Linked DNA regions of Arabidopsis thaliana. The protein of the gene in region 3 interacts with the protein of the main gene of each other region in a pairwise test. Each region holds a gene or a part of one and is shown on either strand. Other genes may lie near its edges.

Evidence for each region. Proteins that work in one complex are often made in the same cells at the same time.
Region 1: the proteins of Fes1C (region 3) and AT1G04930 interact in a two-hybrid assay, tested with the Arabidopsis thaliana proteins (one large-scale study listed by BioGRID).
Region 2: the proteins of Fes1C (region 3) and AT1G28135 interact in a two-hybrid assay, tested with the Arabidopsis thaliana proteins (one large-scale study listed by BioGRID).

The regions. Positions count from the first base shown.
Region 1 is NC_003070.9:1,395,791-1,400,694, forward strand, and holds AT1G04930 (hydroxyproline-rich glycoprotein family protein), read right to left. Parts: upstream 3,264-4,904; 5' UTR 3,199-3,263; coding exon 2,650-3,198; intron 2,581-2,649; coding exon 2,491-2,580; intron 2,093-2,490; coding exon 2,040-2,092; intron 1,918-2,039; coding exon 1,878-1,917; intron 1,788-1,877; coding exon 1,707-1,787; intron 1,350-1,706; coding exon of another isoform or gene 1,338-1,349; exon of another isoform or gene 1,335-1,337; coding exon 1,221-1,334; intron 1,076-1,220; coding exon 996-1,075; intron 838-995; coding exon 756-837; 3' UTR 501-755; downstream 1-500. Other genes in the region: AT1G04945 (HIT-type Zinc finger family protein), read left to right, coding at 3,798-3,984, 4,189-4,764; Tic20-I (translocon at the inner envelope membrane of chloroplasts 20), read left to right, coding at 3,798-3,984, 4,189-4,826.
Region 2 is NC_003070.9:9,827,526-9,830,084, reverse strand, and holds AT1G28135 (uncharacterized protein), read right to left. Parts: upstream 825-2,559; 5' UTR 754-824; coding exon 598-753; 3' UTR 501-597; downstream 1-500. Other genes in the region: GH3.17 (Auxin-responsive GH3 family protein), read right to left, coding at 2,202-2,559.
Region 3 is NC_003076.8:422,845-429,589, reverse strand, and holds Fes1C (Fes1C), read left to right. Parts: upstream 1-3,211; 5' UTR 3,212-3,377; intron 3,378-3,473; exon of another isoform or gene 3,474-3,495; 5' UTR 3,496-3,521; coding exon 3,522-3,607; intron 3,608-3,800; exon of another isoform or gene 3,801-3,804; coding exon 3,805-3,947; intron 3,948-4,031; coding exon 4,032-4,082; intron 4,083-4,175; coding exon 4,176-4,397; intron 4,398-4,509; coding exon 4,510-4,612; intron 4,613-4,739; coding exon 4,740-5,109; downstream 5,110-6,745. Other genes in the region: AT5G02170 (Transmembrane amino acid transporter family protein), read right to left, coding at 1-18, 112-331, 414-594, 673-696, 786-1,000, 1,206-1,477, 1,574-1,731; AT5G02160 (uncharacterized protein), read right to left, coding at 2,566-2,707, 2,951-3,198; AT5G02140 (Pathogenesis-related thaumatin superfamily protein), read right to left, coding at 5,153-5,309, 5,385-6,057, 6,152-6,206.

The DNA.
Region 1 (4,904 bases), on a different chromosome or scaffold from region 3:
GATCGGTGCTCTTTGTTTCTTGGAGAGTAAGAAACTAGAATTGGGGTTAGTGTGAAAGAAAGAAACAGAGAGCTGAAAATGAAAAGTGTAAACAATCGAGAAAAATAGAAAGCAAGAGTTGATTGCGGGAAAAAGTTTACTTCAGAAAAGGGAAGAGGATTTTACAGAAATGGCGGATTAAACGTGAGCGAGAGAGATCATCGGTAGTTTAGTAGTTGCATGTGTGGAGCAATGACAAAAATTAGTTCTTAGCGGCGATGACACGTGTTTGTTGTAATTACGTGGCAAATGTAACGGAAAGAGAGTTTAAATATGAGCGTTTGTTATCTTCTCTGTCCGCTTCCCTATGCGATTCTCTCTCGAAAAGCCTCTAATCCAATTAGAGACTTCCACCTATTTACTACAAAATCTCAATTTTTCTCAAATCTTGTTTATAAAGTTACAATTAGTCGAATGACAGTAAAGTTTATTTATTACCACTTCGCTGATTGACACATGTGTAAGAGAAGAAATTTTTATTGTCAAATTAGTAAAAGCTGACTTTAAGGAAACAATTTTATCTTCCTCTTTAGTTTTAGGAAGAATGAAACACTATTCATTGAGTAGTCCTACTAATCTATAGAAGACGAAGAAGAACACACCTATACTATTACTACACGTATGTTGTTACGTGGTACTAGTATGCTAAATCAACAACAGTCATATGAAGCTAATTCCTAACAAAACTTTACCCTTTTTTAGTCGTTCTTCAAGCATCATCGGTCTTCGGATTGTGCCAGAATAAGAGTTATTCTTTCTTTGTACCTCCTGATCCTCCTCGACCGTTCTTCTCGTAATCTGAAAGAGAAAGAAATCCGCTTTTTCAAGTTACCAAAATATTCTGCTAGATTTGCTTTGATGATTATGAAAACTAATCCATGAATCTTGTGGGGAGCTTTATCTTTCAAATACTACACGACCTAAGGAGCAAAAAGAGAGAATAGTGGGGAGCTTACTGTGCACGGACTTTCTTAGCTCGCTCGATGTGTCTTTTCAAAAGATCCTTCTCAGATAATTGCTTTACAGCTTCCTCGTCCTGAGATCATCAAAGAAAAGAGTGGAATCAAACGTCATGTAGTAAATATTCAAGAGCTGAAATTAGCAACAGCAGGAAAGAATCAGACTAATGTCTTCTGTTCTGCTCAGATAGAATCAATGGTTCTTGAAGACTTAACACAAACCTCTTTGTCTTCATCCGCTGATTCTTCATCTGGATCATCTGGTACACTTGTCTCTGTTGTTAAATCCACAGGTAACGGTTTTGGCAAAGGTTTCATTATACCACTCCTTTGCGGCTGTCAACAGAGAAACTGAAAGTTAGATTAGTCCCAGATATATGGTTACGCTCAAGAGATTGCAGATGCACATTTCCATTGCAAAGCAGATAACAAGCTTTGAGTATGCAATTGAAGATCATTTAACTAAGATTGGCTTCTAAAAATATAACTATATCAAGAAAGAATCCTCTAACTAGCACGGATGCAAATAGGTGAGTGATCAAAAGTAATTTAGTTTCCAAATTCGAGTAAATTTGGCATTCTGAGAGGTTTTCTGAATCAAAACCCCACAAACCAATATCTTGAAAATACAACCGATGAATCTTTTATCAAGCGGAGTCGTCAATGACACTAACATCCTACTCTAACAGCAGCATATAAAGTGCGAACCTGAATTCCAACGTGAGCACCATTTTTCAACCACGATCGACCAAGTGAATAAAGAGAAGAAGACCCCTCAGTGATTCGGACCTGTAAACAGTTGAATAGTATTACAATCTAAACTTAACAGATGTCTTTTCCAAATTCTCAAACAAGCAGTACATATGATAGTAGGCTTACCTTTCTCCCTCTAACAACGGCAAGAGCCCCATCCTTGCTTCTAATAACAAGGAAGAAGAAACAGCAAGGCAACTAAGTCTCTTGAACAAGTTTTTTTTAAAATAATATTTTCAGTGAAACCAAAAGAAAGGTAATATCAAAGTAGAGAAATTTGATGTTCACCTGGCCTTTCTATTCCTGCTAGTGTCTAGAATTGAAGTTGGGGGCGGGGCAACCTAAGTACCAAAATTTACGAAAATGAGAAAATGTGACTGGAGCAAGAGCAATAATCAAAAGTAAGTAGGTGCAAACCAACTATTAAGAGAAGAACAGCTTAACATTTGCTAAGATATAAAAGCATTTTCAAGTCTTCCTCATTCCACAAAAGAGAATTTTCAAGACCAGAGTAAAGCAGGCACATAGCAGGACAAAGAACCAAAATAGAAAGATAACTAGATCCAATTACTAACTATCACATGGTTTATAAGAAAACCATGAAAGACACGTCCAACAACTCACATTGTTGTATAACTAGACTAGTCGATCAAAATTCTAGAACTACATGCATTAGTTCGAATGAGAATCACTCTGACAAAAATGGATCCAATATTAACCAAGATGATTCTTAAGTCACGGTACAGTCAGATTCAGTTCTACTAAGACTCCAATCAAGAAACTTTGGATCATCTCGAGCATTTTCCCCACTAATCTTTCCACTACTTAGCTAGAATCTAAGCATTAACAAATGAAACATGACAAGCAGAAATTGAGGACTTCATCTAAGAAACCTCACCCGCGGTTGCAGAAATTGAGGACTTGCTCTAATGGGACCCAACCCAACAGGAGAACCCAATCCAAGGCGTGGTAATGGACGAATCTGAGGATTTCTCTCCCTTATAAACTGCTGCAACAAGGATTCCATTTGACGCTGCTCATATGGTCCAGGATCGTAAGTAAAACTCGGGCGAGGAGGGTACCCACTCAGATTACCAGCCGTCACGGAAGGATCTGCGACGAATCCTCGAACAGGTCGGGCTGAAAACCCTCGACCCGGTAGAGCAAACGGGTAAAGAACAGCTGACGGATCTTGAATTTGGCGTCTGACCGGAATCGAATGTGCGTAGAGGTTATTACTATAAGCAGATTGTTGTTGGAACGGATTAGGGTGGCGAAGCGGAGCTATGGGTCTGTAAGTCGGCGGCGGTAGTGGCGGCGGAGCAGGAGGTGGCTGAGACGGCGGTGGTCTAACAGTGTTTACTGGTGTTACCGGAGTTTCCGATGCGGTGGATAGAGACGGAGACACCGTTAGAGATGCGGAGGAGTTGGGATCGGGAATTGACATTCCGACGGCGGAAGGAATTTGTCGATTCGATTTTCAAAAGAATTTTTGGGGAAACAGTAAAAAGAAAAAAAAAAGTTTCAAATTTGGTCACGGTTTAATAATGCGCGAACCCTCTTACTCATAGGGAGGTTTTCAGGTTTTGGGCCGATCTGGGCCTGAGGGTATTAGTGTCAATTTAAACACGGGAGAGAAAGAGAGAGTAATCGCCATTTTTCTTTATTGGGGGAGTGAAGAAGGATAGGATTCAGATGATGAAGTACAGATGAATGCTCCATAAACCCTACTCTTCTTCTTTTACCTCCAGCTTCGATTATACCATTCCTTGTTTGTGAAGGTTCGTAACTTCTTCTTCTCTCTAAATTATCTCATGGATTTATGAAAAGAATCGATTTTGTTTGATTTATGGGTTCTAATTAGTCGAAGCGCTTGGGTAGGTTTGCAATGTTCTAGCTGGTCTTGAGCAATCTCTGGTTTAGGGTACCGAAATATGTTTATGGGAATTGAAATTTATCGGATGAGATTTTGTTTCTACAGTCGTCTGTTCAAATTCGATTTCCCATGTTTCGTTTGTTTTGGTATAGGCATTTTAGTTGGTAAGGATGATAACTGGATACAGCACGCCAAGTGCACATGTTCTAATGAGCTCTCGGGCATTCAAGTCATCATCATATAGAGCTGCAGCAGGACAGACTCAACATTATCTTGCTCGAAGTTCATTGCCTGTCGTAAAGAACTCGTGGGGATCACCACCTTCACCTTTCAATGAGCTTCCGAGAGTGTCAAGAGGCATGTGAATTTCTTCTACTCATATGGTTTCAAACACTTATTATCATATATCCCTGCTTATATCTGTAAATTGCTCCAATGAGTTTATATGATGTGAATATTAAAAGACCTGTCCATGGGCTGAAACTAGGATAAGTGACTTTGGTATTTCAAAGGTGCTGCTTTTGTTTCCTAATTCAATCTTGTATACTTTGATTGTTTTAGGTGTGCCTCTGTCATATCTCTCAGCCTCGTCTTCTCTGCTTCTGAATGGAGAACAAGGTAGTCTATCTGGTACATTACCTGTGTTACCTGTCCGCAGAAAAACTCTTTTGACTCCACGAGCGTCAAAAGATGTACCTTCTAGCTTCCGATTTCCCCCGATGACCAAGAAGCCACAATGGTGGTGGAGAACTTTGGCTTGCCTGCCTTACCTAATGCCACTGCATGAAACTTGGATGTATGCAGAAACCGCTTACCATCTCCACCCATTCCTAGAAGATTTTGAATTCTTAACCTACCCATTTCTAGGCGCCATAGGAAGATTACCAAGCTGGTTCCTCATGGCTTACTTTTTTGTAGCTTATCTAGGGATAGTGCGAAGAAAAGAATGGCCTCACTTCTTCAGGTTCCATGTAGTGATGGGTATGCTGCTTGAAATCGCACTCCAGGTTATAGGGACCGTTAGCAAGTGGATGCCTCTTGGAGTCTATTGGGGTAAGTTTGGGATGCATTTCTGGACTGCTGTTGCGTTTGCTTATCTGTTTACCGTCCTTGAAAGCATACGGTGTGCACTTGCGGGTATGTACGCAGACATCCCGTTTGTCTGTGATGCTGCCTATATCCAGATTCCGTACGACTAAGAAGAAACAACATTGGATCGTTATGACTCCTCTTTTTTTTTTTTTTTGTTAATTAGGTCCTTGTTTTGTTGTTACAAT
Region 2 (2,559 bases), on a different chromosome or scaffold from region 3:
GGGGTCTCGCTCTCTAATCAAAACTATTGTGGATAGATTCTTATCGAAGAAAAATGCATTATTCGAATCTGTCATTAAGTTGACAATACGTGTATATATTTCCAGACTTACATGCAATGAACAGTTTTATTTATTTATTTTATATACACTGAAACAGCAGGATTAGATGGGGTTGCAATGGTTTTGTGTTGGTAGCGAGACGAAAACGACAGCGTTTTTGTTCTGGAGAGCGATACGGAAAGTAACATGACAGGACAGTTGAGAGGAAACTCATCGTTTTCTCTTAAGTGAACAGTTAAGTTTGTTCCCTTTTTTCTTTTGCTTTAATATTTGGGGTCATAGATCTGTCTCTTTTACCCCATTTACTCTTTATAGCAACACATCCATCATATCCAACTCTTGTCGGTTACTTACTTCCACATTAACCATGCTTTGCTTTTATTTTACCATGCTTTCAATTCATTTCTTACGATGAATCTAGCTACGAGGGGTGGGTGGGCATATTAGCCACATTACCGTTTTGATTCGATCAAACTTTTGAATATCCGAAACTATGAGTGTGGATTACAAGTTGTTATACAAACAAAAACGCTATCGCTATTCGCTAGATCTAACTTTGGACGAGTGAGCTCTTTCACGCTTCCCTGGTTTTCTTGCCTGAGCCCTGGGTTTAGATTGTCGTGAGACATTTCGGTTCCTATCTACCGTTGGTGTTAAAGGGAGAACTGCGAGGAGCAACGTAATCAACTCCATTGGTTATTTTCCCCGGGAGAACACCTATAGCCCCAATAGAAAAATTGAATTCGGTAGCCAATCTGGTTCAAAATATATTTAACAGTATTGTTATTTAGATCAAAACCTATGTCATCTGTTTTTTTTGTTCATGATAGTTTCAAGAAAAATTTCTACAAATTTAATGTTTTTATAAAAATCAAATCATGGTAATATATCGATTTGTTTTAAAATATATTCATCCAATATCTTAACATAGGTTGTATATTGAAATTTTACGGCTATATATGTATGTCGACAGCCACATTCAAACAGACATTAAATGTAGTAATAGATATACGTTGGTAGTCCTACCAAATACTCATATAGTTAGTATATTTAATTTTAATTATGTCATTAAAACCACAATTTGAAAAGGTAGATTATGATGTGAAAATGAATAGCTGATATAAAGAATTTTGGTTTTTATTTTATATAATAATGATTTCATAAGACCACACATCGTTTATTGTTGTTCGAATATTCTTAAAATTTTATATTCTGCAGTTTACATTACAATACTATTCAGGCACATGGTTTTCTACTAATAATGAGTTAAACCTACTTTGAGCTGAAAACAAATCCAAGACTTGTTAAATGTCAACACTTGGAAGAAATTTGCTCCGAAAATCTTTATAGTTTCCATATTAAACAATGGTTTTGCATATATTAGTGAACTTATATTAAATTCATAACAAAACTTTTTGTGTGGTTTTAATCAACTTCAACACTTATTACATGTACAACTAGTACAAGTAACGATCATTTATATAAATTATTTTCAGGATTTTAGAAGAGAAAAAAGAAAGAAAAGTGAAAACTGTTGACGAGAGATAGAGTTGAGATTTATGCAAGAAAAAAAATAGAAATGATGTAAGAAAGAAATGTGGATCTCAATGATGTTGCTGTGTGTTGGCTGGCATATTAAACCATCACCATCTTCATGTGCATCTATACGTCACTCTTCACCTCTCTATCCAATTATTTCAATCTCCTCATTTTATTTTCATCTTTATCTTATACTAACGTAGATATATTGCAAAAGAGAACTTCGAAAGTTTCTCTTTTATAATATTTTTTCGGTCTTAAAATCTCTGTTTTTATTTTTCAGTTATGTTCGATTTATGTATACAATATGAATATATTACCATTCCTATGAAGAAAAAAAGAGATGAGCTAGATTTTATGTAAAGGGTTTGGTACGATTTTTTTTAATCTTTTCGAAAAAGAGAGGGAGACAAAGAATAATAAAGAAAGAGACACAAAAGTATACATTCACAAAATGAGAGGACTTTGCTGAAAGTTTGTTACAAAAGAGACAAAAGCTTAACAATTAAAAAAAGAAACACCAATTAGCAACTTAACAAATGAAGATCTTATACTTATAAAATCAAGACTTTAATCATACATTAAAGAAAAAGAAGTAAAGTCTAAGAATCTAAACCAAGTGGTTCCCATTGAGGAACTCTCTTACTGAAGAACCTCCCAATAACTCTGGAATCAAGAATCTCAAGAGCTCCTCCAGATTTAACACATCTTGGAGTCTTATACTGATTCAAAGATGATCCTTGTGAGACACAAAAATCCATTAACGAATCAAACGTGCCCAAACTCACCACTCTTATCTCCAATGGCCCAATCGACTTGTCCCTGTTCCTGCATCTCCTGTAGACGTAATCCAAACAATCCTCAACCTCAGAGCAACAATCCTCCATTGTCTTGTCGTCAAGCTTTGGTGGGTCATTGCTGTGACGTGGCTTTAGCTCCCAGAAGAGCACGTAATGCCCT
Region 3 (6,745 bases):
AGAGTGCAAAACGCAAAACTACATAACGCAACAAACAATTATTTTATGAAATGAGAAGTGATGAAAATTAGACCTAGAGGTTTCTTGCGCTATAAGCAAAAGTTGTTTTACCTGATGAGAAGCACCGTAGGAAACTTGGAAGGTTCTTTCATGGATGAGTAAATGTTGGGGAAAACAGAGTGACTCCCGAAACCGAACCCGTAAATTCCGATTGCGACAGGTATGTTAGTTATATCAAGAGCTTGTCCGCTTATGTGAAATCCAACCCCGTCTACTGATCCAGCCCAAAAGAGGCAAAGCGCAAGCAAGATTGAGGAGATGACACCTCCGGCTAAGGAAACAAAACATTTCTTAAATTTAATTAAAGAGTTCAAATCTCAGAGATTGTTGTGTGTGCCAATTACGAGATGAACCTGAGAGATAGGACAATAAGCTGAGGTCTTTGAGCCAGACAGTAGGAAGAACAATAAGAGTCGTGGTAATGGCGAAAACTTGAGTAGAATCTAAAGAAAATCCGTTGATGTATAAGGAGGTATTTGGGAACATTCTTGACAAATTATCACTCATCATGATTATGTATTCCACACAAGATGCCTACAGAAAAAAATTCAAAGTTAGGACCTCAATTTCTTCAATCATGATATGAAACATGAAAGAGAGTTTGGTACTTACGTATAACTCTACGTAGAGAAGTATCTGAAATGTAATTCCAAACCCAAGTTAAGTTAGGATCACAATTCACACACAAACAAAGTTAAGATTGATTATTTGAAAAATAATCTTACAGAGACGAGGATGCGTCCAGTGGTTCCGAATGCAGCTTGACCGATGTCCGGGTAAGTGTGGATTCCAGGGGAGTTCTCGAGACATCTCTTGAGGAGAATGCCGGTGTAGAAAGTGATAATGCCAAAGGAGAAGAGTATGAAAAGCCCTAACCATCCTCCTTCTTTAACTGCGTAAGGCATTGTAAGTAAAGCTACTCCACATAGAACGTTAATTCCTGCAAAAAGAGAATGTTAAGAATCTCAATCTAAATAGAAAAGATAATCGTAAACTCAGTACTCTCGCACTAATGCTATACTAAACGTAAACTCAGTTCATCAATATATATCAGATTTGGTTTCAGTTTGATTATTTGACTAATCTTGGAAAACAGAGAAAACCTAACCAAAACTCAGATTGAACATTCCTAATGCAATTATTACCGTTGAGAACGGATTGAGAGAATGTGCAACTGCGGTTTTCTTGGGGAGTTAAAAGATCCCCTGGGACTGATAGCTGGAGATGAGAAGCAAGAAATGATTTGATGGAGGACACAACAGAGCTTTGGATCTCGTCTTTGTCTATGAGAAGTTGCTGTTTGCTTGGTGAAGAAGTAAACGAACCGAAAACAGAGCTTTGTCGTCTCTGGCGAAATGAAGAGACAAAACTTGTACTAGTCGGAGGTGTAACTCCAGTCAACAAATCCATAGATTGTCTGAAAATATCCCCAAGAACACCAAAATTATTCTCTAAAGAATAATTTCTTCAGATCTCTTACAAAAACAGAGCACTTAAAAAGAAAATGATTTACCGATAACTTCGAGGCCACGGAACGGGAACGTCTTCGGATCTGTTACGAGATAAAGGAGTTGAGGGAACGGAGCTCTCTGTTTGGCTTTCTTCATCTTCCTCATCGAACGTGTGATACAAATCTTCCCTTTCTTGATCGAATGTCTCGTTTTGCTTCATCTACTTTGTTTGTATTCTTCTACTGTGCTCTGTTTCAAAAACCAACAAAAGGTCTAAAAAGAAGAAGAAGAAGATTGAGAAGAAGCAACTAGGGGACGCAACGAAACGTGTTCTGTTTTCAAGTTCTAAATTATTGTCACGTTTCTTTATATTCTTTAATTAGCAGTCTCCTTACCTATGATGATGTCTCCCTGAATTTGTTTTTCCCCATAATTTAAATGTATTAATGAACAAATTCACGATTTTCCCATTATTCCACCAATAAGATAAATTTAATAATGTCCCATTATCCTATCACTACTAAATCTAAGAAACTTCAAGAACAATTCAAAGAATCTTCTACTCTGACGCGTAAGGTTCATTTACAAAAAATTTAGTTTTTATACAATAATACTATTTGCTTGAAAAAATATAAAAACGTTTCTGGCGAGGTTATTTATAAAACACAGAAATAGACACGTAATGAAGATTAGTTGATATGCATGTGATGTAAGAAGCCAATGACAGTTGGGTCATTAATTGGCCATTAAATGTTCATCTCTAATTACTTATGCAGCAGTTAAATTTATTTTTTGTTCGTTTTATTTTGGTAGCTGAGCACCTTCGTCTATAACTGCTTAAAAACTTACAATAATACTCAGACAATTTCTTACAGAACAAGAAAGCAAAGAAACTTACACATAAAAAAGCAATTGTATATATATATATATATATATATATCCACCCATCTCCAAGCAACCATTGATCATTCCAAGCTATCTACTTTTGCAGAGGTATATTGTAGAGAAGAAGAGGAATGAGAAATGGAGCTTTTTACATATATATGAAGAAGACTTATGATTTATCAATCTGGTTAAGCTTTCCGAGTCCATTGCAGTTAGCACAAACGATCTGAGGAAGATCCTTCCGTGCGGCGTTGGCTCTCAGAGTCACTCCTCCTTTCCTCACAAATCCTGCTCCGTCACATTCCGGACACCTAAACCACACACATTTCAGAGCTTAAACTCACAATGTACAATCTCTGATTCAGTTTACTACATCGGCTAAGAGTTTATGTACGTTTTCAAAATCCATAACAGAGGATTTAGTCCGGTTAAGATAATTCGAATGTTGAACCGGACAATAAACTATGATAATCTGCAATTGATCAGTCAAAATTTGGTTTAACGAGCATTAAAACCGGTTTAAGTCACAAGGTAAAAAGATGAGAGTGGTTTACGTGTCTTTGCGTTTGAAGAGGATCGGGAATGCAGTTCCGACGAGTGCAACGGCGATGGCTCCGCCGATTAAGTAGATTGTTCCGTCAGAAGAGACATCACCGACGGCGGCGACAACTACGGAGGAAGAAGATCTCTTGTTTTTGGGAAGAATCACATTGTTCGGTGATGGTGATCCCCACGAAGAAGAATGTTTCAGGAAGTTGGTTGATGACACGAACGTCGTCTGCAATGCCGGTGCGATCGTCATAATTTAGGGTTTTAAGTGACTGATTTCGATTTGGGGGAAGTAATAAGAAGAAGTGATTTGATTTTTATGGAAAGGTTTTGAATTTGGATTTGCTTCGTGACGTGTCACTCTCTCGAAGTGGATAACGTTTTCACTTGGGATTTTTGGGGTTCTTCAGTTTTCTTTTGTGTGTGGATAAGGTAGGCCCCTTCAAGATATTTCGAGTTAACAATTGGGCCTGTTAAGCCCATTATTAAGTTAGCGTGAACATAAGGCCCAAACTATTTGTCATTGTCTCTGACTCTCTGACCTTCGCAGAGTCTTTCTCTTCTTCCGTTGCTTCAATGGCGAAAGACGGACCTAACTGGGACGGTCTGCTTAAGTGGAGTCTCTCTCACTCCGATGGTACTCGACCTACTTGCCAATTAAGGTACGAAGTTTCTTTGTAATTTCAGGTTTTGTTGGTCACTTAGTGGAGCTTATGTTGTTTGTTGGGTTGTTTTAGAAATTTGCGTGGTTCTGCGTCAGTTTCTTATGAGGAATGAATCATGTAGTGGAATTTGACTATTTGATTTGGTATTGTTTGGTAGATGGTTTTTGATGATATGAAATTGTTTGGTTAGACAGTGAGGAGGATCGAAAATGGTTTGCAGAAGCTATGCAATCACAAACGGTAGATGTAGTCAAGCGGTTGAAGGAGATTACACAGGTATTGCAGACACCTCAACAAGTTTTGGAGGCTCATGAAGTGACCCCTCAAGATATTGAAGGTTCAATATGGAGTTCACTATTGTTTTCTTAGCTATTTTCTCTCTTGTTGGTTACTAAGATTTTGAGTTATGATGATTTGGTAGGTTTGTTGGATGAGTTGCAGGAACATGTTGAATCGATTGATATGGCTAATGGTGAGTCTTTTCATACTTTGACCTTGTAACTTTGTTCTATATCTGTCTTTTGATTGCTGGGCTTAACTTGTACTTCTTTGAATGTATGGGCAGATCTTCATTCCGTTGGAGGCTTGGTACCTCTTCTTGGCTACCTCAAAAACTCCAATGCTAATATCCGGGCTAAGTCTGCAGATGTTGTAAGCACAATAGTTGAGAACAATCCTCGGAGTCAAGAATCAGTTATGGAAGCCAATGGTTTAGAGTCCTTGCTTTTAAGGTTTACTTCAGACACCGATATGCATTCTCGAACACAGGCTCTCGGTGCAATATCATGTAAGCTGCTCTGAGTTCTATCCTATATACTTAGATGGTCGAATGCCTTTTTCAAAAACAAAAATGTCTATCGTAAATCTGATGAATGTATTGTGGTAAATTTGGGGTACAGCTTTGATTCGCAATAATAAACCTGGGATCACAGGTTTCCGGATTGCAAATGGTTACTCTGGTTTAAAAGATGCTTTGGAAACTGATAGTGTGAGATTTCAAAGGTAATAATACTCTTCACTTTTCTTCATGCTTGGATTCCTCTGAACTTTGAGAGAACACAAAGTTGTAACCTTTGTTCTGCTGTTGTCTAACTTTCAAAACTTTTGTCATTACTTTCTCATTCTTCAGGAAAGCTTTAAACTTGTTGCATTATCTTCTACAAGAGAATGACTCAGACTCCGATATTGCTATAGAATTCGGGCTTCACCATTTGATGATGCACCTCGTGTCTAGCTTCGATGCTGATGTAAGAGAAGCTGCTCTTCGAGGATTGCTTGAGCTCGTGAAAGCTAGAAAAGACTGTAGTACTTGTGGTTCTAGCATAGTGAAAGGCGATGAGAGACTCAGACAGATTCTAAAAGATCGGATCAAAGCAATCAGCCGGGTCAAAGCAATGAGCTTGTTTATGTCACAAGAAGATCTATCAGCCGCTAAAGAGGAGAGGCAGCTCTTAGATTCACTATGGACCACAATCTTCAACGAACCTTCTTCTCTTTAGAGACAAAGATACAAAGAGACAAAACCGTCTGTGCTTCCTTATATCATGAGTAAGCACTAAAACCGTCTTTTATGTCTTTGGACCCACCAGCTAAAGCTTGTGTCTTTAGAACACTAGTTAAAAGGATGGTAACCACTGTATAATGACCAAATTTTGATTCTATTTTGAGTTCAAATTTTCTCAGTTTCTCATTCAATGACCTAAAAACAGACCGTACAAGTACCAAATCAAGCTACTGCATGATAAACATAACATAAAAATCAGAAGCCTCTCACTTTGGAGGACAGAAAGTGATAACATAACGAGAAGCTCTACACTTATTCAAACTACTAGAATCATCAAACGCATAACTATAAGCTTTAGGACAAATCGCTTTAAACAGATTCGCGAACAGAGTCGGCTTACACGCCTGAGGATTCGCATATTCACCGGTGCAACAATACTTAGCCGATTGCATCGCCAAGCAAGCACTTTTACAACCAACCACTTTCCCATCTCTCTTAACTTCCAAAGCTGATGGACAACAAATGTTCAAATTCACTTCACAAGCCGCAACGCCACATCCAACTCCACCGCCGATTGGTTTCATCGACACCGGAAGATTGAAACCGTCGACGAGACTTACGTCGTAGAAATGAAGCGGAGAGGAAGATGAGCCTAATGTCATTTCTACTACGGTTGCTGGTGGTACACCGCCGGTTCCTTGGCAGTTGATAGAGCCGTCGTTGCAGTCTCCGGTTTGGCATGAGCCTTTACCGTTTTGGTTAAAGGTGCAGCCTTGTCTACCCCAGATTCGACCGGACCATTTATCCGGTACGTCTATGATGGTTTCTTCGCCGCTTCCCATGTGGAATCCGCCGTTTCTTGGTGTGATTTGGCCTCCGCCGCCGAGAATTCCCGGCCAAATGCTCTCCTGGCAGTTATTCACTATTATAAGCTGAGCTCCATCTGCAAAAGAACAAAGTCACTATTATTGAGAGGAATCAAAACGAGAAACAAAACCCATTTCATAAATTATCGAGAAGGAGAAGAGATATCGTACCAGTGAAGGCTGAGATAGTGAGAAAGAGAAGGAATAGAGTTGCAGATTTCGTCATTGTTGTTGATGTTGTTGTTGTTGTGTGGGGATATATCACTTCTAAAGTTTGCTTTTGTGTGTGTTGTGGTTGTTTTCAAGAGAATATTAATAAAGAATATGTTGAGGACGTCGTGGTCGAAGGAAGAAGTGGAAACTTGGGTTGCAAGACTAATATTGGTGTGGTGAAGTGGATTGTTGTATAGGGAACTGCCAAGTGCTAACGTTTTATAAACTGAGACTTTCATGGGATTAGTGGGAAAGAGAAAGATATGGAGGCTTGATCGTGAGCCTTCTTCTATGAAGAATGGGTTAAAGTTGGATTTAAAGAAAAAGAGAAAGATTCATATGTCTCTCAAACGTTTATTATTGGATAAAGATTAACACTCATAGATTTCTTCATCATTGCATTTCTTTAAGGCAAATTTGTTTATACTTTACAATCCATAACTAATTTTCAGACCTAGCTAAAATCTCATTGTCTAACATTTTAATTATTCTTAGAAATTGATTTGATATTTTTGAATATAGTTTTATAATTTTTGTAATAATGTCGTAATG